6 linked regions of the Oryctolagus cuniculus genome follow. The protein of the gene in region 6 interacts with the protein of the main gene of each other region in a pairwise test. Links are inferred from orthologs where the notes say so. Each region holds a gene or a part of one and is shown on either strand. Other genes may lie near its edges. The genes, in order: CASP9, DDX6, PHF1, POLR1C, UBE2K and BIRC7.

Region 1 (4,298 bases), on a different chromosome or scaffold from region 6:
CTCTGCAACTCTGTCTTTCAAACAAACAAAATAAACCTTTAAAAAAAAGAAGAGGAAGAAGAAGTGGAACAGTCAAGACTCCAACCAGCACCCACATGGGATGCTGCTGTCGCAGGTGGTGGCTTTACCGGCTACGCCACAACGCGGACCCCAATTTTATTTAATTTTTAAGTACTGAACACTTACATTTCCAACAGTTGCAAGTGGCCAATAACTATGACACTGAACAGCACAGACCCACCACACCACTGAGGAGACAAGTCTCCCAGGAAGAGCAGTCTGGGGCCCTGCTACCATGTGGGGGACCCGGATGGAGTTCCAGGAGCCTGGCTTCAGTCTGGCCCAGCCTTGGCCATTTAGGGGGTGAACCGGCAGATGGAAGCTCTCTCCCTCCTCCTCTCTCTCTCTCTCTCTCTCTGTGTGTGTGTGTGACTCTGCCTTTCAAATTAATAAATAAATCTTTTTAAAAATTAATAAACAGGGGCCACCACCTGCAGTGCTAGTACCCCCCCCCCATACAGGCGCAGGTTCCAGTCCCGGCTGCTCCACTTCTGATCCAGCTCTCTGCTGTGGCCTGGGAAAGCAGTAGAAGATGCCCGCATGTGTGTGGGAGACCTGGAGGAAGCTCCTGACTCCTTGCTTCGGATCGGCCCAACTCAGGCCGTTGTGGCCATTTGGGGAGTGAACCAGCAAATTGAAGACCTCTCTCTGCCTCCACCTCTCTGTCATCCACCTCTCAGATAAATAAATCTTTAAAAAATGAATAAATAGGGGGCAGGTAAAGCCACTGCCTGCAGTGCCGGCATCCCATATGGGCGCCGGTTCTAGTCCCGCCTGCTCCACTTCCAATCCAGCTCCAGAAGAAATCTGGGGAGTGAACCAACAGATGAAATCAATCTCTCTCTCTCTCTGCCTCGGTAACTCTGCCTTTCAAAAAAGTAAATAAATCTTTTAGGAACATGAATAAATAGGGGCTGGCGCCGTGGCTCACTTGGTCAATCCTCTGCCTGCGGCACCAGCACCCCATATGGGCGCCGGTTCTAGTCCCGGCTGCTCCTCTTCCAACCCAGCTCTCTATTGTGGCCTGGGAAAGCAGTAGAAGTTGGCCCAAGTCCTTGGGCCTCTGCACCTGCGTGGGAGACCCAGAAGAAGCTCCCAGCTCTTGGCTTCGGACCAGCGCAGCTCTGGCTGTTGCAGCCATTTGGGGAGTGAACCAATGGACAGAAGACCTCTCTCTCTGTCTCTCCCTCTCACTGTCTGTAACTCTACCTTTCGAATAAATAAAATATTAAAAAAAAAGAAACACGAATAAATAAATACCTAAGAAACCTAGTAACACTGGGCCTGCATGCTGGCCTGAGCACACGCAGCTGGAGACGGGTGGCAGGACAGATGCTGCCCACCATGGCGCCCACCCAGGCCTCCATGGGCATCTGAGCTTGTAGTCCCCCTGAACGTGTCTGAAGCAGGAACTGTCACCTCCAGCCATCTCTACTCCCTGTCCAGGCCCCACAGCAGGTGCTCCCGAGACTCACTTACAGCTGGCCACAGTCTATCACAGACTCGTTCCGGGGCAAGGCCATGGTCTGGGAGGAGGCAAACACACACAACAGTTCCCCAGAGGGTGGGAGGGGCCGTGAGTTCAGGCTGTGGCCAGGCGAGGGAGGGCCCGGGCTGGACAGTCGATACACAGGAACTGGGCGTGGAGGGCAAGGACACACTGCGCTTACTATGGAGGGGCCACGGGAGAAAGGTGGGTGCCGGGGGGTCCCCCACAGGCTCTCCCTCCCCTTGCAGGTTAACGACGGAGCCTCTGAAAGGTCCTGTCCTGTCTGTGATCTCCTGTGTGGTCGCCTCCCTGTCACTTAGCCATTGTTAATTAGCAGCTGGAAAAATGAAGCAGCAGCATTTTTTCCACTTTGCAAATGTGCAGCCAGTCCCCAGGCTGGAAAGGAGGAAAGGGAGGGAGAGGGTGCCCACACCGAGGCTGGGCCTGCTGGGCCCAGAACCCGGGCCAGAGGCCTGCAGCCAGTCACTCACACCCACTGCACCCCCACACTCTCACCGGCCCCAGGCGAGGGTCAGCCACGAACAGCCTCAAATGTATCCTTTCTCTCTGTTATCCGCATCAGGTCTCCTGACTTCCAAAAGCCCCTTAGGGACCCGCCAGAGTGGACAGGGCCCTCTGGGCCTGGCTCTAGGCTCTTCCACATCCACCGTCTCACTTGGTCCTTGGGTCAGCATCACTGCCCAGAGCACTGGGGCTCAAAGACGCTAAGTGACTTGCCCAAGGATACCCTGACGGGCAGCCCGACCCCAGGGTGGGTGCCCGGGACCAGGGTGCTGCAGAAGGGAAACACCAGAGCCTGCAGCCGCTGTAACCCGCACCCAGCCAAGAGGTGCGCGGGGTCCCGCTCACAGGGCACCCCAAAGTGGGGGTACTTGGGGAAGCGAGCGCGGGAGCTGCCACTGAGCCCCGCGGAAGTCAGGGGCGGCGAGGGAGGGGCGCACCTGGATGGCCTCGATCATGTCGGCCGTGAAGAGCTCGCAGCTGACCAGCGCGTCCCACAGCTCGGCCACCTGCAGCTCTTTCACCAGCCGCAACCGGCTGCGCCGCAGGAGCTGGCGGTCGGCCTCGTCCATGGCCGGCAGGAGACGCGGACCCGGGGCTCCGTCCGCTTCCGGGCCCGCTCCCCAGCACCGCCCTAAGACCCGGGACCCCGGATCCGCCCCCGACCTAGGACCCGCCTCCGCGTTGCGTCCCAACTCCTCATCACCCCTCGCTCCCGCCTCCACGTCCCTCCCCCACCCCAGCCGCCTCCCCGCCTACTCGCCCCCGCCTCTGCGCCCTCGCCACGACCTCATAGTCCACGCCCCCATAGTCCGCCCTCTCCTCCTCGCCACGCCCCCAAGGAACCACTCCGCGCCCTCGCCACACCCCTCCTGGTCCGTCTCAGAGCCTCGCTACACCCCCCCACCCCGACCACCCCTGCGCCCTCGCCACGCCCCATAGCCCGCCCCTGCGCCTTGGCCACGCCCCCACGGTCCGCCTCCGTGCCCTCGCCACGCCCCATAGTCTGCCTCCGCACCCTCGCCATGCCACTATGCTCCGCCTCCCTACCCTCGCAGCATCCCCACCAAGGACCCACTCCGCGCCCTCGCCACGACCCCATAGTCCACACCCCCATAGTCAGCCCCTGCGCTTTGGCCACGCCCCCATGTCCCGCCTCCGCGGCTCGTCACGCCCCCGTTCTCTGCCTCCGCGCCCTCGCCACGCCCACACGGCCCGCCTCCGTACTCTCGATGCAACCCCCCCTAAGGATCCACTCCGCGCCCTCGCCACACACCCCCAGGACCGCCCCTGAGCCCTCGCCACGCCCCCAAGCTCCGCCTCCGCGCGCTCGCCACGACCCCATAGTCCGCCCCGAGCCTTGGCCACGCCCCAAAGGCCCGCCCCTTTGTCCTGGCCACGCCCCCACGGTCCGCCTCCGCACCCTCGCCACTCCCCCCAGGACCGCCCCTGAGCCCTCGCCACACCCCTATAGTCCGCCCCTGCGCCTTCGCCACGCCCTATGGTCCGCCTCCGTGCCTTCGTCCCGCCCTAGAGCCCGCCCCGTGGCCGCATCCTGAGGACCGCTAACTGCTTTTGGACCGTGACACGGATTTCCGGGTCTTTCACCAGAATCGATGAAGACGGCTTTTACAGAGACTGTAGAATATCCCCAAAACTAGTAGGAGGAATTGCTGTAGATCGCCCCAAGACCGCTCGCTTGCCCAGCGCCCTCGGGGCCAGTCGCTGACCGGCAGTGGAGGGAGAAGGAAGGTTTACTGCCATTCTCAGGGCAGGCAGGTGGGCCCCTGCTGCTTCCTTCCTTCCCGAGGGCTGAGGGCCCGGCCTTGTGGTACAGCCGCCGACTCTTGCAGCTCATGTCAGGGGGCAGCCCCAGTGCCCCGCCTCCGATCCAGCTCCCTGCTAATGCGCCTGGGCCTGCGGCAAGTGAGGCTCCTGCCACCCACGTGGGAGACTTGCACGGAGCGCCTGGCTCCTGGCTTTTGCCTAGCCCAACCCCAGCTATTGCGGGAACTTGAGGAGTGACCCAGCAGATGGAAGACAATCTGTGTGTCTGTCTCTGTCTCTCTCTGCCTTTCAAACAAATGAATAATTTTTTTTTAAAGTTGGGGGTGAGCAGTGCATGACCCGCTCCTGTGTGGACCTCTGAGTGGTCCACAGTACGTGTGGCCTGCCTCTGGTCCAGCAGTGATAGGGGCTAGTGTGTTTCCTTTGGAATGGCAAAGGG
Region 2 (4,264 bases), on a different chromosome or scaffold from region 6:
ACCAGGGATGGGAGCTCTTTGTGTCTGCCTCTCAAATAAATACATAAAATTTTTTAAAAAGAAAATGGCCGCTGTCTCTTGGAAAACTCTGATGACAACAGGTGGCCTCACTGGAGCTGGCACATCCTCCAGAAACCGTATTTGCTACAGAGTACTCACAATTATTCCACTCCATGTTAACTAAAAGACCAAAGGATTTGATTTATATTACATTCTTCTTAAAAAATAATTTTTCAAACCAACAAATTATCATAATTTAAGAGTCCAGTGTGACATTTTCAATACATATGTACATATGTACAACATGTAATGATCAGGCATACCTATCACCTCAGACTCACATACTTTTCTTGTGCTAGGAACATTCAAAATCCTCTTCAAATTCTGTTTCTAGCATACCATCTCCCAGATTTTAAAATACCTCGTCACACAGAAGGGGGGAACTCTGTTCCTCGTGTTCACCCTAGAGAGAAAGCAGCTAGGTGGCTATTTTGAAATATTCAATTAATTCTTGCCAATCAGAGTTATCCTGCCCAACTGCACCCCTGGACCCATTAGCTATCCTCTCTCCAACCCCCTAAAAATACATTTTATAAATGATAGTCTGTGCAGCCCCAAATAATCTTTTTTCCTAAAGTGTCATATTTCACAATTCTTGCTAATCTGTTTGAAAACAGCAAGGACAAAATGGTTTGAAATGGTTTGACCTATCAACCACTAAAGCTGAATCTAGAATAAAAGATCCAGGGTTCCTAGCTTAATTTTAAACCATCTACGTATCCCATCAGAAAACTGAAAAGGGCCAACAATGTGAGAGTATTTACCCATCTTAAAAGATCATTATACAGAATTTCGAAAGGTTTTCGCCTCAGAAGGACTCCTAGGTGAGATGGGTGGTCATTTCATATTGCCCATTTTTGTCGTGACCTCATCCAGGCTACAGTTTATTTGTGGACCCTTTCCTTGAGCAGTGTGGGGGAAGGGACCTGGTGTAAATCCTGAAGCCCCTTTCCCAACCCTTCACACACCTGATACGTGGGAAGAGAGTGAGGCAAAGAGGATCTCACACGGTATCACCCAGCCGTCTTCTCTACAGGATGGAATAGGGTGCAGGGTTTCTCTCTTCACGACTAGGTGTTTTAAAATCTGGGTGGGAGATGGCATGCTCTAAACCTAGAATTTAAAAAAAAAATAAGGGGACTTTTTTTTTAACGTCAAGGGTAGTCTTTTCACTGCTCTCGACAGCCTTTCCAGACCGCCAAACGAGACCAGGCTTTGCGTTCAGAGCGTGCCGTAGGATCCGCAGCCACGACCCCTCGGAGTGGTGGGGACCAGGCAGGCGGGGGAGTAGGAAAGCTTCATGGTGAAAAACGGGGAAGGCGTCAGGTCGGCCGCGATTGGCGCGTGCTGGCACCGGGAAGCGGGAGGAGGGCGAGCGAGAAGCAGGGCCTCGGACGTGATTGGTTGCGGCGGCATATTTGGCTTTCTCTGATTGGCTCCGAGTTGGGGACAGCGGCACAGCGGCAAAAAAACATGGAAGCTGCCAGTCAGTGAGCAAGTGCTGACCGTTCTGGGCTCGCTGCTGCGGAGGTGGGTCGGAGTCCTATTGTCACATACGCTTTGGCCATTGTCCGTTTGTATATTCCGCTTCCCAGCCGGGTGCGACCTAGGATTTTACTTTCCCTCGGCCTAGCCAAATTTTTTTTTTCTTACTTGAGACACCACAGCATTTCTGTTATTCTGTTGGGGATAAACGGAGACGCTAGGGTCTGAGAAGTAATCATGAGGAGAAATGCCTAAAAATCTTTACAAGTGAGGGGCGGGCGGGAGAAAAAACTCTCCGCCTGCGGGCGCCCAGATCTTTACCGACTGCCCGGCTTCCACCGAGACGACTCAGTGCTGTTCCCCTCTGGGGGGAGGCTCGGCCCCTCCCTGGAGGATCTCGGCAGTAGAGGGGGGTCGCGCCGCCCAGCCCTGCGCCCTAACGGCGGGGTCGCCTCCCAGACCCCGCGTGCTCTCCGCAGCTCCCCCTCCCAGGCGCACGGTCTCCGCCCGGCGCGGTCCCTACACCCCCCCTGCCCGCCCTCCGCGCGCCCCGGGGCCCTCCCCACCGCGGGTCCCAGGCCGCCCCCCTCCCGCCCCCGGGCGCGCGTCGGCGGGCGCGTGGGGGCCTCTGGTTCCGCGCGCTCCCGGGCGGAGACGCGGCGCGAGGGGCTCGGACGCGGCCCCCGGCCCGCGGGGGTGCCAGGTCAGCCTCCCGCCTCCGGCCCGGCAGTGCTGGGGACCGGTCTTGGGGCAGTAACAAGCAGATCCGCCTCTGGTCACAACCCCGGGTTTTCACGCAGGAGGCGTGAAGGCCGGCGACTCTCCTCAGCCACCATTCCCCGAGCATCTCTCCTCGGCCTTCCTGTCCCCTCAGACAGCAGCCGGGCTTCCCCCTGCAGCTTTCCACCCGTCGGTGTGAGAGAACGGCCCGCTTTTTTTTTTTTTTTCCTTCCCCCCTCCTCAGGGAGCTTCTCCGGCCGGGCTTCCCCTCGCCGTCAAGAAGGGAAGAAGGGAAGCCAGGCGGCCGCGACAGCCGAGCTCTCGCCATCTTGAGTGGAGGAGGAGCCGCGGCCGCCGCCATGCGGAGAGGCAGGGAAAGAGGGAGGGAGGGAGGCGGCGGCGGGCGGGCGAGGGAGGGGGCAGACAGCCGAGTTAGCTCAGCTCGGCGGCGACTTCGGCGGCGCCGAGAGAGCGGGCAGCGGCGGAGGTAGGCTGGGCGGCCCGGCAGCCGGCGGCGCGGGCTGCCGGCGGCGCGGCCCCGGGAGTGCGGCGGGGGCGGGGGCGGGGGCGGCCACAGCGAGGGGCCGGGTGGGGGCGGGCGGAGGTTTCCGAGGAGGAAGGAGCCGCCGCCATTTTGGGAGCTTCGAGTCAACAATAAAGGACCGAGGGTGCCGAGCGGGAGTGGCCTCGGTGGTAGGACTCGGGCCAGAGCCGCGGGGCGCGGGGGTGAGGCGGCGGGGTCGAGGTCGGCGGTGCCGTGGGGGCTTCAGGGAGCCCCTCGGGCCGGCGAGGGGTTCGCTCCGGGCGGAGGCCCAAGGCCTGGCCGGGCCTGGGGGAGGAAGGGCGGGCGGCAGCTGTGTGGGGTGGGGGCGCCTCAGAGGAGTCGAATATGGGAATGCAGTGCGCGGCGGGGTCAGGAGGAGGAGCGGGCCGAGTGCTCCGAGGAGTTTTGTGGAAGACGAGGGGCTGTGGGGACCCGAGGGGGCGGTAAGGGCTGGGGGGGAGATGATGTTGGAGGTTATGGGGTACGAGGCAGCCCTACAGGGGGCGGCACGGATCTGCCGTGTTGGAGGGCTCCGGCTGGAGGAGGACCGGCTGCTGCCTGATTGCAGTAGGCCTTGTAGGTCGATAAACAGAGGGTGTTGGTGGAGCCCCCGGGTCGCGGAGGGAAGGAGGGGCGTCCTAGGTTGTAGGGGTCTCTTCGGGCCCTTTATTGGAGCAGTCCCTATTGTTTGCTGCCGCGGAGCTGAGTTTTGGCCCTTGTTGCGCAGATAGGATTGCGGGGACCCAACCGTTTTGTTTTTGTGGTCTGAAGGAGCTGACTCGAAGTGTGAGACTGGGGGGAGGCAGGGGAAGAAATGAGTGCCATACAGTTGCGGGGCTCCCGACACTGGCTTGACTCCTTTTCCGCGATCCCCCGCTCCCTCTCTTCGGAATAAAACCCAGTCACTCCAACTTGCAGCCAGAGCTTGGAGAAACTGCGCTGCATTTGCAAACAAAAGCTCTCGTTGGAGATGACGGTACTGTTTTGGGTGTGAAACTGTCAATTGCTAACTACGATCTGGGAAGTGCTGTAATTAATTCCACCAGGGGCTCCTCCCAGATAGTCTACGTTTTGTCTTTTTTTTTTTTTTTTTTTCTTAACGTAGAACTATAACCTGCACATCTAAATTGGGAAGGGGTAGGAGGAATATTTCCTCTCTGAGACATAAAGCTGCAGTGCAGGTTTCAGTTTAAGAGGGGAGCAGTTAGCACATAGTCTTATTTTGGATTTAGGGAGATGCGCGGTGATGGGCAGTAATGAAGATACGGTTTCGTTTTTAAGAGATTGCCTTGTTCATCCTCCTAATGTTTTGCAAACAAATAAGTCTCCCTATATGAACTATGTGATACGGTTGATCATAATCTAAAGCTGTCAATACGGGAAAGGTTCATAACCTCCTCTAAGTGCTCTGATTCAGGAAGACTTTAAAAATAAACAGCTCTGTGTATGTGAGAA
Region 3 (4,201 bases), on a different chromosome or scaffold from region 6:
TGCTTTACGGGGTGGAGGAAGCTATCTATGTACCCGACTTATCAAATAAAGAATAGTTTTTTTTTTTTAAATAAAGATTTTATTAGCATTTGCCCAAAGAGGAAAATATTTTTCATATCCGTTAAGACAGGAGCTGTGGAGGTGCCTATCCAGCCATGTGTTTGTGGGCTAGGAATTAGGGATTAGGTTTCTCTCTTTAAACTTTTCTTTTCTGAAAGGAGACCTGGAAAGCTAGTTCACTCCCCACATGCCCGCCACAGACAATGCTGAACCAGGAGCCCAGAACTCAACCTGGGTATCCCACCCATGTGGGGGGCAGGGACCTAGGGTGCACAACAGCACCTGGAGTTGGAAGCCAAGCTGGGGCAACCGAACGTGGGATGGGGGTCGCAACCCGAGCTGTGTCTTTTTTTTCTTAAATTACTTGAAATGAAGTTAGAGGGGCAGATCTTGCACCCGCTGGCCCCCAAGTTGCGTCTTAACCGCTAAGCCAAACGCCGGCCTCGGGCTTTCCTCACCTGCTCGGGATCATCTGACTCCCTACGCGCCCTCCCCCGTCGCCACTTCCTTGAAGGGTGCCGCCTGGTTGTCCAGCACAGCCACTGATGGAGCTCCCCTACGACGGGCACCCGGGCCCTGCGGCGGTGCGGCGCGCGCTCCCACCAACTGCAGGCGCTGTCCTCCCGCCCTTTCCTGCCTTCGCGTTCGAACCGCCGGGGCGCTGCCCTCCTGCTGCCCATTGGCTGGCTCTCGGCGGCGTCACCGCCCCGGGTACTAGCCCTCTGCGTCCCGGCGCCCGCCCCGCAAGCGGGAGGGTGCGCATCCGCGCCGACCCCTCGCGCTCCCCGATGTCGGCCGCCGCCCGGCAGGGGAGGGGCTCGGCCTTCCCAGGTGCCGTGCGCGGGAGGGGCCACGCGTGCGCAGAGCCGCGGCGGGAGGGCGGGGGGCCCGCGGGCCACGGGGAGGGCGGGGCCGGGGCATCGGCGGGAGGAGGGCGGGGCGAGGGCAACGGGAAGGGTGAATGGAGGGCGGGGCCGCGAACTGGGGCCCGGGGGCGGGACTTGGAGTGACCACGGGGGGTGGGGCAGCTAACGGATGTAGCATGGGGCGGGGGGCCAGTCTCGAGGCAGGCCGCCGGGAGGGGGATTCCCTCTGGCCCCAAAGGCGAGCCTGCCATCCGGGGAAGGGGCCGCGGGGATTCCCTCTCCTTGCCGGCTCGACTATTCGCGCCCCGAACCGCTGAGGGGCAGCCGCTCGCTCGCGCCCTCCAGGCCGCTGGAGGTGAGGGAGGTGGGGTGAGGTGGTGCCCGCCCCCCCTTCGGCTCCTCCTTCCCCAAGTCCTCCCCTCCCAGCCGGTCCGTCCCTCCCCTCCCTCCTTCCCTCCCTCCCCCCGCCGCCTCCTCCTGCCGCTGCCGCTGCTTTGGCTGCTGCGTCATACGCCCCAGAGCCGCCGGGACGGAGGGGCTGGGCCTGGGGACCCCCCGGCCTCCGCCTGCACGCCCCCGGGCGCCCGGACGTGCCCTCCCCGCGCGGGGGGCTCACCTGGGTCTCAGACGTCTGCCCCTGCCTGGCTCCCGGCGGCCCCAGCTGTCACCGGTAAGGAGGCGGGCAGGAGGCGCTGGTGGGGGGGGGACAGGGAGCCCGGGGGTCGGCGCGCAGGGCGCGGGCGGGAGAGCCTTGCCGCTCTGGCCTCGGGTCGGGCTGGGCCGACTCCAGTGCCTTCTCGGACTTGCCGTGGTGGGGAGGAGAGAGCGGGACTGGGACACGCCCCCCTCCCAGAGCACTCGGGGAAGTTACCTAACCCAGGGGCAGGAAGCCCCGAATTTGAGGGTGACCTGACATAACCGGGCACCGGATGATTGTTCTGTGTGAGACCAGCAGGCCGGGGGACAGCTGTTTCTACTCTGGAAAACACCTCCAGAAACGCTCCCTAAACACATGCCTGGGCAACAGTACCGCGGTGGCGATATGTCTAAGCAGAGGGGAGGGTGAAGCTGAGTAGCAATCTCTGCTTCTCCAGCCATCATTTCTCCTCAAATCTTAAGACCGGGCTGTGCTATCCCAGGAGAGCGCTCGGTTTTGGGGAGGGTGGCCAGGAGAAGTGGCCACCAGAGTTGGAAGAGTTGGGAGTCCGGACACTGAGTGGCTTCCCGTCCTAGTGTCCCAGGGTTTGGAGACCAGGCGTGCAGAGACTGATCCCTGACAGAAAACTAGGCAAAGAAAATGGGCACGCTTCCTCAGCATTCCTCACCATCTCCTTCCCGCCTCATTTCTGGCCAGGCCCCCCCAGGATGCGATGGCGCAGCCCCCCCGGCTGAGCCGCTCTAGTGCTCCCTCACTTTGGGACCCGGCGTCCCCGGCCCCCACCTCAGGCCCCAGGCCTCGGCTGTGGGAGGGTCAAGATGTGCTGGCCAGATGGACTGATGGGCTGCTATACCTGGGCACCATCAAGAAGGTAAGCCCTTCCTCTGACCTCTCACCGTCCCGTTCCCCTTATCTAAGTCTGGCTCCCTTTTCATCCTGTGTTCACCCACCCCAGGTGGACAGTGCTCGGGAAGTGTGTCTGGTCCAGTTTGAGGATGATTCCCAGTTTCTGGTTCTGTGGAAAGACATTAGCCCTGGTGAGACCCCAGAAACCTCAGCCTGCAGCCTATGGCAAACAGAAACCTGGCATGGGGGGGTACAGAGGGCCTCGAGGGCAGGCCTCCTGACACAGGGTTCCCCCACAGCCGCCCTCCCTGGGGAGGAACTCCTCTGTTGTGTCTGTCGATCTGAGACCGTGGTCCCTGGGAACCGCCTGGTCAGCTGTGAGAAGTGTCGCCACGGTAAGAGGCAGGATACCTGTGGGAGAGCTTGCCCTGGGCCTGCCAGCCTGTGTCTAGCCTGCCCCTCCAGCACTGCTCCTGTGTCACGTCGCTTCTTCTGGCCCAAGTCCCCACGCCACTGCTCTGGCCAGTCTCCTCAAGACTGAAATCTTGCCCCCTTTCAGCACAGGGAGAGGCAGCCATGGAATGAAGGTGGTATAAGTTTAGCAAGCAGAGGTGATTCAAAGACATCTCTCTCTAACCATGTGACTTCAGGCAAGTCCCTTAACCTCCTGTTCTCTCACTTGTAAAATAAAGATAATACTTTCACGCTGGCAGAACCGTGGTCAAGGATTAAATAAAATGGGTAAAACTGTTCCTACCCCAATACCAAGCACACATGGGCATGCAATAAATAAGTGGTCTACTATCAACATTATCATTATTCAGCTTATCACCAGGACTGCCACGTTCCCCGGGCCCCAGCCCCTGGAGAAGGAGAGGGCACATCCTGGGTCTGCCGCCAGTGCATCTTTGCGATCGCCACCAAGGTAAAGGCACCCTCCTACTGCGCCTCTCCTGAGCCTGTCCCGCCCACCTCTGAGGCCTCCCGCCTGCTGTATCTCTGCAGAGGGGAGGGGCACTGAAGAAGGGCCCCTATGCCAGGGCCATGCTGGGTATGAAGCTGTCTCTGCCGTACGGACTGAAGGGGCTGGACTGGGACGCCGGACATCTGAGCAACCGACAGCAGAGCTACTGCTACTGTGGCGGCCCTGGGGAGTGAGTAATGAGAGGTGGCAGATCCCAGGGGGTGCAGGAGTTAGAACAGGGTGAGGGGAGGACGGGGGATGGGAGGTAGGTGCCGAGCAGGGTTTGGGGCAGTTAGGGGGAAGAGGGTGTCTGAGGCGACTCGTCCCGTTTCCCTCAGGTGGAACCTGAAAATGCTGCAGTGCCGGAGCTGCCTGCAGTGGTTCCATGAGGCCTGCACCCAGTGTCTGAGCAAGCCCCTCCTCTACGGGGACAGGTGAGGGCGTGGCGGATCCTCAGGGGGCCAAGCTGCCCCGCCCTGTGCTCCACACTCTGCATTTCCTCGTCTGTCCACCCTCCTTGCTTCTGAGCCCTCCATGGCATGGTTTTCCACAAGGTGACACGTCCTCTTTCTCTTGCCCACATCCAGGTTCTATGAATTTGAATGCTGTGTGTGTCGGGGAGGCCCTGAGAAAGTCCGACGGCTACAGCTTCGCTGGTAAGGTGGACTGAGCCTGACCTCAGTGTAGCTTCCTTCCCAGCACCCTCCGCGTTGCACCCTACATACCCCAGCCGCCCATCTCAATCCCCTGGCTTTTGAAATGCTTCTTGTGGCCTTGACAACTCCGTGTTTCTCCAGGGTGGACGTG
Region 4 (4,083 bases), on a different chromosome or scaffold from region 6:
AGGGTCTCAGGATGTCGATGTTGGCATACAAACTGAAGGCTCTGGAAGCTTGTCTCTTCCCGGCCTGCCACATCTGAGCGGAGATGCGGGGATGGCCCGTGAGGCTCCTGGCCCTGGGGTCCTGCTCCCTAGCTTCTGTCGGGGTTCTACTGGGCTCCAACTGGGGCAGCCTGAGGTCAAGGTCACCCACACGACTCCAGATCGCGCAGGTATCCTGCACTTGCCAAGGATTCAGCCCCGCTTACCTGGTCAGCCACCTGCCGGCTCAGCTGCCCCTTAAAGCCCTTCATGCCCAGGAACTCCCCATCCTCCTCTTCCGCAGCGGCCGCGTCGGCGTCCACTTCTTCCTCGCGCAGGCGCTGGTGCAGCTCACCCATGTCCTCGAAGCTGGAGCCCGAGGTGTCATCCATGTTCTCCATGTCAATCACGGCAGAGCCCCCACCCTGTGAAGGCAATGCCTCCTACAGTGCAGGCCTTTCTGGTCCCTGCCCCGCTGCTGGCGCCGCGCCTCCGAATCCCCGCACATCAGGCCACTGTCACCCCTCACTTTCTCTCAGAACCCCCTGGCTGCTGGTTCCGGCGCTCTCCTCTAGCCCGAGAAGCCACCTACTTGTCTTCCGCTCATGCCTTTTCCCCACCTTCCCCATCAAAGGCCCCGAGGGTTTGCAAGGCGCAAGCAAGACCATGCACACAAGATGTTTCTGGCGAGTGCCAGCGAATCCCGCCCACTGCCCCGCTTGACCCCGATTGACCTCCTCTTCTGTCTCTCTTCCTAACGCCTCAGGCGCGTCCAGAGACCCGAGGCCCTCCGGCCGGCACTAGCTTCACTGACTTTCCCGTGCACGAAGACCCAAAGGGGAGAGGAGTGTTGCAAATGGAGGAAGCTTTCGGGCCCCGAGGGAGGCTTCCCCAGACACGTCGGGGTGGCCGGCAGCCGAAGCGCTGGGGCCATTACCTGGATGTTTTCTTCGAACCCGCCCCATTCCGGGCCGGCCCCGTTTCGAGCGCCGCCGGCCGGCGCCGCGGTGGCTGCCATGTCCCTGGAGGGCTCCCGTCCCCGAAGCCAGCGCTAGCCCCGCGCGCGGAGGAAGAGGGGGCAGACGTGGGCCTGAGGCACGGAGACGTCCAGGGCCGAGGACAGGCGCCACCAGCCGGAACGCAAAAAAGAGAAACCCGGATGTTTGGCCCAGACAGACTTCCGGAAGTTGGGGACGTGGACGGAGGCGGGGCAAAGTCTCGCGATACGTCGGGCTCCGGGAGGCGGTGCGTTGCCACGGCGACGGAGGAAAGCCGCTAGAACGCACGCGCAGGCGTGAGGCCTTAGTCTCGTGGGGGAAGTCGAAGATGGCGGCGGCTCAGGCCGTTGAAGAAATGCGGAGCCGCGTGGTTTTAGGGGAGTTCGGAGTTCGGAATGTAAGCCTTGTGGCCTTGAGTTCAGAAGGAAGTATGAGAGGGACGGGTCGGGATCAAAGTGAGGGCGGGCTTGGCTTCGCTGCCTCTTCACGGACGGACCCGTATCTCTAGGTTCATACCACCGACTTCCCCGGGAACTATTCCGGTTATGATGATGCCTGGGATCAGGACCGCTTCGAGAAGGTGCGTGGGGCCGGAGTGTGATCGGAGCAGCCCGGGCTTCCGAGCTGCTCCCAGGGGTCACTCACGTGGCAAAACCAAGTTTGCTCAGCATCCGACCGTGTCCTGGGCGCTCCTTGCACACCGGGCTTCTGCCTTGTTCTGCGATCGAGCTGTTCAGGCCTGTACAGGTCATTCTAGTTGGATGCGGTGACGGCGGCTGAGAGTGGGGGTGGGGCACCCCTCAGAGACGGTCTAGACTGGGGCAGAATCATAGGATTCCCTGAAGGAAGTGACATCTGAGTTTGAGCCCTGAACGGTGAGTGAAGGTCGAGGAGGGAGGAGTAAGCGAGCTAACTTGTAAAGACGGGGTGGGCGTGTCCCTAGAATGTCCGAACCGCGCATTATTGATAGAATGTTACACTGGCCTGACGGCGGGCACTGGGGGTTCTTGAGCAGGCGTGACCAGGTGATCCGGTTTGCAGCTTTGGTGGTTGAGAAGGAGGAGAAGGGGCGGGCAGATCGCTAGGCAGTGCTGGGGGAAGGAGCCCAGGAGTGCTTTGGTGAGAGCGGTCAGGACTTTCTGGCTGTGGGAACTCATCTGACGGCTGGCGGTGCCTGGGCAGTGGGAACGATGACCCATTCGGTTCCCCGCGGTGTGGAGGAGCTAGCAGCCCAGGAGAGCGTTCGACAGAATGTGGGGAGTTGTCCATAGTAGTTGCTAAAACCGTGAGTGTGGTTGATGTCACTTTGGAGAGAGACAAGAAGCTGGGGACCGGTAACACCTAGGTGGTGGGTGGAAGGAGACGCAACTCCTCAGATGGAGGACTGGTGCCCAGACACGGAGGAGATGGGGTTTGAGAAAGGAGTTTTTTTTTTTTTTTTTTTTTTTTTTTTTAATTCAATGCCAAATGTAACATTAGTAAGAAAAGAACTGAGTCCTGTCAGCTGGACTAAACTGTATAGAAGTTTCTGCTCTTCATAGAATAGCTTCTGGCTCAAGCCATATTGCATAGGATTTTCAACTAGTGGCATACAAAACTGGGGGCATTGTTCAAGAAACTAAAAGAACAGAGGAAGAAAACATCAAATGAGGCTTTGCTGGGCAGAGGAAGGCTTCTGGGGGAGCGGGGATGTTCCGTGTCAAGGGGGAGCTGTAGCCAGGTCACACCAAGAGCAGGCTCCATCCACTTGTTTTTCCTTTGCCTCTAGAACTTCCGCGTGGATGTGGTACACATGGATGAAAACTCGCTGGAGTTTGACATGGTGGGAATTGATGCGGCCATTGCCAATGCTTTCCGGCGAATTCTGCTGGCGGAGGTATCAGCGGGGCCGGTGACGGCTGGAGCGTGGGGAAGTGTGCCATCACCTCATCTGTCAGTGTCTCAAGTTGCCCCCCCCCCCCCCCCCCGATTTTGTGGAGTGTTTTGCTTTAAGTTTTTATGAGGCATTCTTCTAGGAGTTGTCCATCTCAGGAGGTGGGGAGTCTGCCGGGTTTTTATAGACGGGTAATCCTGGTCTCTGGGTAGGTGCCCACAATGGCTGTGGAGAAGGTACTGGTGTACAACAACACATCCATCGTGCAGGATGAGATCCTGGCTCACCGCCTGGGGCTCATTCCCATTCATGCTGATCCACGACTGTTTGAATATCGGAACCAAGGTGAGGGCCTGGGAGATGAAGCTGTTGGGGGAAGTGGAACCGCTTTCTTCCTTAGTAGATCCTGGGACCAGCTGCCTGGGTTCGAATCCTGGGTTGACTCTTGTGGCCCTGGGCAAGTGACTCATCATCTGTGGACGAGAGGAGCAGCACACGGGTAGCACTCGGCAGTGTCTACCCTGATGCTCACTGCTGCTGTAAGGGCCGCCTCTTCCCTTTGTGCAGGGGACGACGAGGGCACAGAGATAGACACTCTGCAGTTTCGGCTGCAGGTCAGGTGCACTCGGAACCCCCACGCTGCTAAAGATTCCTCTGACCCCAACGAGCTCTATGTGAATCACAAAGGTTAGTGGGCAAGGAGGGAGGCCTGGCTGCTGGCTGTGGGGGCGTCTCGGGGCTACAGCCCTCTGACTTGTCTTCCCTCCAGTGTACACCAGGCACATGACGTGGGTTCCCCTGGGGAACCAGGCTGACCTCTTCCCTGAGGGCACTATCCGGCCGGTGCACGATGATATCCTCATTGCCCAGCTGCGACCTGGCCAAGAGATTGACCTGCTCATGCACTGTGTCAAGGGCATCGGTGAGACCCGTGGGCCGCCTCAGGTGCAGGGCGTAGCTTAGTCGCCGCAGGAATCCAGGGATGCTCCTGACCGGCAGAAGGCGGTGGGCTTGGGCTTTCGCGCTCAGTGGCTCGGGAGAGGATTCCCCCAGGCTGATCTCTCCCTTCCCTGCAGGCAAGGACCACGCCAAGTTCTCACCAGTGGCGACAGCCAGTTACAGGCTCCTGCCAGACATTACCCTGCTTGCACCCATAGAAGGGGAAGCGGCTGAGGAGCTGAGCCAGTGCTTCTC
Region 5 (3,049 bases), on a different chromosome or scaffold from region 6:
TGAAAATATTTCAAACCTACAACCTAAAAGTGGGGTAAGGGGCCCTGTTGCTCAGCACACTTCCCCATCAAATAGAGGAATTTCCGTCAGCACGCTAGCTGTGAGTGATAAGAGGGAAAACAGACGTGGTGTCCCAGTTTGAGGACAGGGACAAAAGGCTCTGAACAGGTCACCATCTTCAAATCTGGATGACTCTTGTATCTAAGAATTCTCCAATGTGTAAAACGGTGGTCTTTTCAGCTACCCATCCTAAGAAGTCAAGTACAAGCATGCAAATAAATGCACAGGCACAGAGGGTCCATGTTGAACACAGTTACGGCAGCTGTGATGCAACACCGACACACTCAAAATAGAATCTTAATTATTCAACAAAATCCTGAAGCGAACTCTTGCTAGTCTTGGTACACCACTAAATACTAAAGTAGCAAGTTTTTTCATGGTTTTAGCTTAGCTCAAAGAATTTTTACACTATTAAGGAAAAAAAATTAAAGTATTTCCCCTTTTTTAAATTTACACAGACGTTTAATCAGCTTTATTTACAGAGCAGGGATTTTTTTTTCAGTCTCCAATGGTGCCTAGATAACATCATTAGGCAAGAATGCCAGTTTAAAAGAAATCTATGCAGAATCCTAAAAATAGCGATGCCGGAGCTCCCGGAGAGGAGGCCGCCTGACTGGGCTGCAGCTCGCCAGGCCTCAGTTACTCAGGAGCAGCTCCGTTGCCGTCTCTACATCCCATGATTTTGAAGACAAGGCCACAATTACCGCGTTCTGTGGAGACAAAGGGACAAAACAAACTCTCAAGACAATGTTTTTAAATTGTTTTGAATTGCTGTCTTTATATTGACATATCAAACATTTCTTTCTTCCCTTTCAGTAAGTACTTGTAGCACATAAAAAGCTTCCCAAATCAGTAAGCGGAATCAATAAAAGGAAAACAAAAATCATTGGCTATAGTAACAGAACATTTACCAAAACTGCATTTTCTGGTGTTTTTTTATTTGTTTGTTTTGGACAGACAGAGGGGACAGAGAGAGAGAGAGAGAGAGAGAGAGACAGAGAGAAAGGTCTTCCTTTGATGTTGGTTCACCCTCCAATGGCCACCGCGGCCAGCGCACCGTGCTGATCCAAAGCCAGGAGCCAGGTGCTTCTCCTGGTCTCCCATGGGATGCAGGGCCCAAGCACTTGGGCCATCCTCCACTGCACTCCCTGGCCACAGCAGAGAGCTGGCCCAGAAGAGGGGCAACCGGGAAAGAATCCAGCGCCCCAACCGGGACTAGAACCCGGTGTGCCGGCGCTGGCCCTGGTGTTTTTTAAAAGGTAGAGTTAATTACACAGAGAGATCTTCCATGTGCTGGTTCACTTCCCAAATGGCTGCAGCTGGGCTTATCTGAAGAAAGAAGCCAGGCGCTTCTTCCGGATCTCCCACATGGGTGGCAGGGGCCCAAGCACTTCAGTCATCCTCTGCTGCTTTCCCAGGTGCATCAGCAGGGAACTGGATCTGAAGTGGAGCACCCTTGACTTGAACCGGTGCCCATACATGCCAGAGCCACAGGCAGGTAGCTTTACCTGCTACACCACAGCGCCGGCCCACAAAACTGCATTTTCTAAACTACTTGTCAGCCAAGGATTTATAGAGATAATTTTAAATCAGTGTATCAAAATCAAAACACCGTTAGGTACTTACCCTATCAAAGCCCATAGCACATAGGTTTTCTATTTTTTTGGTGTATTCTGGACTAGACACTGGTGCTCCAGCATACACATGCGCCCACAGCCGAGCTGTCTGTTTGAACATTTCAGGATTTTGTTTGTACTGCAAGGGGGAAAAGTTGACTAAAATGACAATACGGTCATAGCATACAATACTGTAACTCAGTTCTCAACTGCCTACAACCCTGCTTGTAACAAATAAAATTTATATTTAAAATGTGGTTTCACTTCCCATCATAAACTATGTTACTCATGAAAAGACTGTTTAACCTGAAGTTTTAAATTCAAAGTTGTACTGACGAAAGAAAAGTAAAGCTAATCTACTTTAAAAATTTAACAAATTAGCAAAAAATTAACTATCAGAAATGTTACACAGTACAACAAACACTATACAACTATACACAGAATTAGTAGCTTATAAAATTAAAATCAGATTTTGCTCCTGTCCCAGAGTTATATTAATGTATGTGATTTAAGGAAACCTCACATGCAAAGTCCTAATGTATAATACACACTTTGGAATAATTGCAAACTCAAGAGTACTTTCAGAAGTTAAGACTTTTCACAGGCAATGGAAATACATTTATTCTCAAAATATTCTAGAACCCTCATTTCTTAGTAAAGCAAAGTATAAATGAACACCAACCATTTCATTTAGTCAAACATTTATCTTTAAGGTATTTTATAGATTTTGAATATGTTAATACTGAAAAGCTTCTACTGCTTATTAAAAGCGTAAATGCAATTTCTATCATTAATTCCTAACAATTAAGTAAGTCAAATTATTGGACAATTTTAGGAACTAAGGTAATCCTTGTAGTATAAACTTTAGCCTGTGGGCTTAGAATTCAATAGGAAATCAAAGCTAGAATTCAGAAAACAGAAAGCTATAATTACCAGCAATCTGTTGACAACTCATTGAACATACTAAGAAGGGGGTATACATAAAACAAGGAGTGAACAGATCTTCAAGAGAAAGGAAAAGTTTCTAGAAGAGATAATTTGTAAATTAAAATCTTAAAGGATAAAGAAATTCAGTTTCCTCAGAGAGGAAACATGGCAGAGTGGATAAAATGATTAAGTAAAAATTAATGCAAACTTGAAAAAGCGTGCTTTGAAAAACAAGAATTCAGAAGATGAAGCTTAGTGTGCTGACACTGCAAATCATGTAGGAACTGCCACTGAAAGAAGAAGAGGAGAAACAGAGGAACTAACATGGAACCACCTTGAAGACAGGAACACAAGAGGGCAGTGTATTAGAAAAGGAAAAACAACGAACACTCAGTAAACCGTAAGGGCTGACATTCCCCTCCCCCAGGCACCCGTTATTTTAAACT
Region 6 (4,239 bases):
GCGAGGCGCCGGCTGTGGCGCTGACCATCAGGGGCTGTGGATCCCCAAGTTCCAGCTTTCCAAGAACTGGGGTTCAGACAGCGGGCGAGGCAGACAGAGCAGCTGGGGGCCTGGGGGCTCCCTCCAGAAGGGGCTGGGGGTGGTGGTTTCTGCTTCCCACCTAGTGCGCTCTGAGGCTTTTTAAAACTATGTGCCTGCCTGACTTCGGAATAAACAAAAGCTGAACCCTTTCCACGCTGCGACACTGGAGAATTCCACAGCTGTGGAGCGACAAGACCCCCGTCCGCCAGGGAGGTCTGCACAGGAGCCTCACTCTGCCCACAGCGCAAGGAGCGGCATTTCCCTGGCAGGGAGCACCAGCTGCCCCCGATGTCCAGTGGGCCTCCTCAGTGCTGGGGGCCTTCCTGCCCCCAGCCAACAGGGCCAGCCCAGGCGGGGGCTGTGCACCACAGCAAGCTCCACCCCCTGACCTCCTCCCTGGCGGCCCACAGCCCTGCCTGCCTCCCCGTGCCCCGGACAGTGAGGGCCCCGCCCATGCGTGCACTATGCAGGTGGCCACACGCCCCAGATGTCCACAGCCGCACTCCAGTCCCAGAAGGGCCAGGGGCTCTGCAGGGTGGGGAGCCCACCCCTCCAGCCACCACCATCAGCTCCTCTCTGAGGCCACAGCTCCAAGCCATCAGCCACAGCGGCAGGGGGCCGAGTGCCCTGGTTCCTGAAGGCTCTGTGGAACTGAGCCAGGGCCACCTGGGGGCTCCGTGGTCTGACCCTGCTCCTGCCGCAGGAGTGGGGCTGGGGGTGAGCCTACTGCCCACGCCCACCCCACGGCGGCCAGACCGTGGCTCTCTGCAGTCAGACCATCAGCAGAGGCGTCCCCCGGGCGCGGCTCTGGGCTCAGCCTCTCAGCACCGTCCCTTCATTCAGTCCCTCGGTTCCCTGCCAACCAGCAGAGGGCAGGCCTGATTCTCGCGTCCGCCGGGTCAGCATTCCGGCTGCAGAGAGGTGGGCAGCAGCCTGGAGGGGGGCGGTGGCGAGCAGGGGCTATCGACCCCACCCGCCCCTTTCCTGGCCAGTGGAGGCCTCTCCTGGCCACACTGCCCGCTGAGCCCCGGTCAGCACCGCAGTACAGACCTGACCCCCACCCTCGCAGTGTGCTGGGGAGCCCCCCACCAAGTTCATGTCCTCCTGAGACCCCTGAGGCAACCCCATTCAGAAACAGGGTCTCTGCAGATGGCACAGCAGTGGGAGGAGGTTGCCCCGGACTCAGGTGGGCGCTGAACCCAGCGACAGAGACGCCAGTGAGGCACAGCCGGGAAGCCAAGGGCGGCCACTGCAGGCCAGGAGCCCCACACAGAGCGCGGCACTGCCCGCGCCTGATTCCAGTCCCGGGACCCTGAGCTCAGACCCCGCCTCGGCCGGGAGGAAGTGAGGTCCCCGTGTTCTGTGGCCCTGGTCCCAGGGCCCTGGCTGCCTCAGCCCTGGAAACGAAGGCACCCGCAGCCCACACCCGCCCGAGACCCCAGCGGCCAGTGTGGCCTCCTGCAGCTGCCTGGGCATGCGTGCAGGTGCCAAGTGACAGCCGGTGTGTGGGGGCCATGGCCTGGCGCCGGAGGCTGCGTGCACCACTCAACCCTGCGAGGGGGGGAAAGGTGGTCCCGGGGGCCGAGAACCTCGGAGTGGCTGTGTGGAGACCCGGGGGCCGAGGACATGAGTGGCTGCGTGGAGACCTCGGGGCCGAGGACATGAGTGGCTGCGTGGCCCCACGCCCCACCAGGGGCCACTGCCCCGTCCGCCAGAGGGAGGTGAGCTGGGGAGGCAGGGGGAGGGGCTCTGACCATGGACACTCCTGGGCCCAGAGATGGCTGCCCTGCCGTCCTAGACCCTGGGAGCAGGTGTGCAGCCCCCTCTCCCCATGTTCTGGGCTCAGCCACAGACAGGCGGAAAGGCTACCCTGCCCCTCAGCACCCTGCTGGCCACCGTGAGCCCCGTGTCCTCCTGTGCCCACCACCAGCCTGGACACGCCTCACTCGTCTTTGGACGCAGCCCAGATAAAAGCACTGTCTCCCCACGGCCAGGTGCATCCAAGCCTCAACCGTCTGCACCCAACCTGGGCGCCAGCCGTCCCTCCCGGCTCGGTGCTGCAGCGAACATGCCCGCCTGTCCAGCGCTGGGCCAGCGCTGGAGACTGGAGCCGAGGCCGGGAGCCGTGGTGCGGGCCTCCCCTGAAGTGGTGAGATGTTGTCAGGGCCCGGCTGAGCCGGAAGCCCAGGCTGCCCTATCTCAGGGGCACAGGGACTGCCCGGCCCTCACTGCGGCTTAGCGCCTCTGCTTGGCCTCTCTGGGGTCATTCCTGCCCCTCGTGCCGGCCCAGCATTCCCTGCGGCAGGACAGGACTGATTCGGGCCACATGCGTTCATGGCACCTGCCAGGGCCGAAAGAGAACAGCCACCTGGACGCCATGGTGGGGCGTGGCCGCGGTGGGGCCGAGGGGACACCTCCGGGAGTGACCGGGAGGGGCTACGGGCAGGGGCCTCCGCGGGGCTGGCGAATGAGAACGGGGCCGGGAAGGGGCGGCCTGGCTTGAAGCCCGCTCCCCAGCCCCGCGCACCTGTAAATGCGGCGTTTCTCCTTCGGACCCCGGGATGACCCCAAGGCCCATAAAGATGGACGTGCCCAGGGCTCCCGCTGCCGTCGCCGCCAAGCGAACCGCACAGGAGCAGGTGCACAGCGGGCGCCGCCGGGTCCCAGCCCGGCCCCACCGCCCTGCGGGGCGCGCCCCACGTGACTTCTCGGGCTCCGCCCCCGCCTCCGCGACCTCGCCCCGCCCCCGTCGCGCGAGACTGAGACCCGGGAGAGAAATCCGTCCCGCAAGGCGGGGAGGCGCAGGCGCGTGCGTGCCGGCCGGGCGTCATTCCCGGCGTGCCTCGCGCGCGCTTACGACGCGCAGCCTCGTCCCTGCCGCCGCCGCCGCCGCTACCGCTGCTGCCGCTGCCGCTGCCGCTGCTGCCGCCATTGGAGTTGGCGCCCCCTCTGTGCGCCCCCCGCCCGGCTGCCGCCGCCGCCCCGCGAGCCAGCACCGCCGCCGGCGCCCGGGAACTTGGCGTCGGGGGCCGCGCGCGGCGGGGACAGGCCCGGCCTCGCGGGAGGCCCGAGCCGGCGGCGTTCATGAAGCATGTCGGCCACCAGCGTGGATCCCCAGGTAGGGCCGGGCCGGTGTCGCGGGGCCGGAGCCTGGAGGCCGGGCTAGGGCTGGGCCGGGAGCCGGGGCCGTGCTGCCGGGACCTGGGGGCCGGGCGGGTCCTGCCGTGGGTAACCGAGTGTTCCCTCCGGCCGCGTCCGCTGCAGGGAACAAAAGGACAAGACGCTAACGGTGAGCGCGGCCCCGGCGCCCGGAGCCGGCGGGGAGGGGGCGGCTTCCCGAGAAGCCGGGGAGCGCCCGCCGCCCCGGCTGCCGAGCCCGGGGCGGACCGCTGCCGGGCGCCGTGCGTGTGGCTCGGGTGTAGCCGGATCCGGCTGCGGCGCGCCTGGGCTGTCCGGAGCTGCCGGCCGCCCTGCGCCGCCTCCGCCGAGCTCCAGACCGAAGCGTCGCTTCCGGGAAGTGCCTTGAGTCGGGAGCCGGGCGGTGACCCTGTGGCTTCCTGTTCCAGCGCACAGTGGTTCTTTGCAGCCGAAGGAGACGGTGCCCGACGCCGACTTCGAGCCCTACCTTCCCGGCCAGTCGAGTCAGGTGAGCCTGCCGCGCCCCCGCCCTGGCTCTGCGTCCCCAGGCCCTCCCTGGAGCGCGGAGCCTCCCCTGGCGCCCCGGGCAGCTGGCCGGGCCGGGCCGGGCCGGGGTTCGTGCATCGGTGTTTGGTGTCTTTTTCTTTCTCGAGAGAGAGTGGGAGCCGGTGAGCCCCCTGCACCGGGTCACTTCCCAGCCATGGCCGGGCCAGGGCTCCATCCCCGCCCCTGTGTGGGTGTCGGAGACCCAAGGACATCGGAGCGGTCACCTGCTGCCTGTCGGTGTGGGCAGCAGGAAGCTGGAGCCGGGACTCGGGTGTGACGGGGGAGGCAGGGAGGCCTGTGAGCCTGCCTGACGGGGGAGGCAGGGGGCCTGTGAGCCTGCCTGACGGGGGAGGCGGGGGGCCTGTGAGCCTGCCTGACGGGGGAGGCAGGGGGCCTGTGAGCCTGTCTGACGGCGGAGGCGGTGCTGCTTGCTGTGCTGAGTCCGGCACCGCAGTCCAGGGGAGCGGCCGAGCG

The links.
Region 1: the proteins of BIRC7 (region 6) and CASP9 interact in binary tests that used the Homo sapiens proteins (3 or more experiments, as listed by UniProt). The two-hybrid records come from large-scale screens. The link is inferred for Oryctolagus cuniculus from reciprocal best matches to the Homo sapiens genes BIRC7 and CASP9.
Region 2: the proteins of BIRC7 (region 6) and DDX6 interact in a two-hybrid assay, tested with the Homo sapiens proteins (3 studies listed by BioGRID and IntAct). The two-hybrid records come from large-scale screens. The link is inferred for Oryctolagus cuniculus from reciprocal best matches to the Homo sapiens genes BIRC7 and DDX6.
Region 3: the proteins of BIRC7 (region 6) and PHF1 interact in binary tests that used the Homo sapiens proteins (3 or more experiments, as listed by UniProt). The two-hybrid records come from large-scale screens. The link is inferred for Oryctolagus cuniculus from reciprocal best matches to the Homo sapiens genes BIRC7 and PHF1.
Region 4: the proteins of BIRC7 (region 6) and POLR1C interact in binary tests that used the Homo sapiens proteins (3 or more experiments, as listed by UniProt). The two-hybrid records come from large-scale screens. The link is inferred for Oryctolagus cuniculus from reciprocal best matches to the Homo sapiens genes BIRC7 and POLR1C.
Region 5: the proteins of BIRC7 (region 6) and UBE2K interact in binary tests that used the Homo sapiens proteins (3 or more experiments, as listed by UniProt). The link is inferred for Oryctolagus cuniculus from reciprocal best matches to the Homo sapiens genes BIRC7 and UBE2K.

What each region holds. Positions count from the first base shown.
Region 1 is NC_091438.1:154,078,765-154,083,062, reverse strand, and holds the start of CASP9 (caspase-9), read right to left. Parts: upstream 2,801-4,298; 5' UTR 2,644-2,800; coding exon 2,512-2,643; intron 1-2,511. UniProt on the Homo sapiens protein: Involved in the activation cascade of caspases responsible for apoptosis execution. Binding of caspase-9 to Apaf-1 leads to activation of the protease which then cleaves and activates effector caspases caspase-3 (CASP3) or caspase-7 (CASP7).
Region 2 is NC_091432.1:111,456,271-111,460,534, forward strand, and holds the start of DDX6 (probable ATP-dependent RNA helicase DDX6), read left to right. Parts: upstream 1-1,464; 5' UTR 1,465-1,590; intron 1,591-2,162; exon of another isoform or gene 2,163-2,634; intron 2,635-2,653; exon of another isoform or gene 2,654-2,752; intron 2,753-2,830; exon of another isoform or gene 2,831-3,252; intron 3,253-4,264.
Region 3 is NC_091436.1:135,735,585-135,739,785, reverse strand, and holds the start of PHF1 (PHD finger protein 1), read left to right. Parts: upstream 1-1,401; 5' UTR 1,402-1,596; intron 1,597-2,280; 5' UTR 2,281-2,296; coding exon 2,297-2,455; intron 2,456-2,539; coding exon 2,540-2,621; intron 2,622-2,729; coding exon 2,730-2,825; intron 2,826-2,989; coding exon of another isoform or gene 2,990-3,080; intron 3,081-3,254; coding exon 3,255-3,355; intron 3,356-3,435; coding exon 3,436-3,584; intron 3,585-3,732; coding exon 3,733-3,828; intron 3,829-3,981; coding exon 3,982-4,050; intron 4,051-4,191; coding exon 4,192-4,201. UniProt on the Homo sapiens protein: Polycomb group (PcG) that specifically binds histone H3 trimethylated at 'Lys-36' (H3K36me3) and recruits the PRC2 complex. Involved in DNA damage response and is recruited at double-strand breaks (DSBs).
Region 4 is NC_091436.1:126,548,517-126,552,599, reverse strand, and holds the start of POLR1C (DNA-directed RNA polymerases I and III subunit RPAC1), read left to right. Parts: upstream 1-1,283; 5' UTR 1,284-1,344; coding exon 1,345-1,413; exon of another isoform or gene 1,414-1,444; intron 1,445-1,524; coding exon 1,525-1,596; intron 1,597-1,893; exon of another isoform or gene 1,894-1,960; coding exon of another isoform or gene 1,961-2,041; intron 2,042-2,784; coding exon 2,785-2,892; intron 2,893-3,101; coding exon 3,102-3,234; intron 3,235-3,456; coding exon 3,457-3,576; intron 3,577-3,658; coding exon 3,659-3,811; intron 3,812-3,965; coding exon 3,966-4,083. Other genes in the region: protein YIPF3, read right to left, coding at 1-73, 246-443, 956-1,036. UniProt on the Homo sapiens protein: DNA-dependent RNA polymerase catalyzes the transcription of DNA into RNA using the four ribonucleoside triphosphates as substrates.
Region 5 is NC_091433.1:33,605,609-33,608,657, reverse strand, and holds the end of UBE2K (ubiquitin-conjugating enzyme E2 K), read right to left. Parts: intron 1,816-3,049; coding exon 1,687-1,815; intron 771-1,686; coding exon 696-770; 3' UTR 501-695; downstream 1-500. UniProt on the Homo sapiens protein: Accepts ubiquitin from the E1 complex and catalyzes its covalent attachment to other proteins. In vitro, in the presence or in the absence of BRCA1-BARD1 E3 ubiquitin-protein ligase complex, catalyzes the synthesis of 'Lys-48'-linked polyubiquitin chains.
Region 6 is NC_091442.1:589,206-593,444, forward strand, and holds the start of BIRC7 (baculoviral IAP repeat-containing protein 7), read right to left. Parts: upstream 2,801-4,239; 5' UTR 2,609-2,800; intron 1-2,608. Other genes in the region: YTHDF1 (YTH domain-containing family protein 1), read left to right, coding at 3,166-3,199, 3,648-3,727.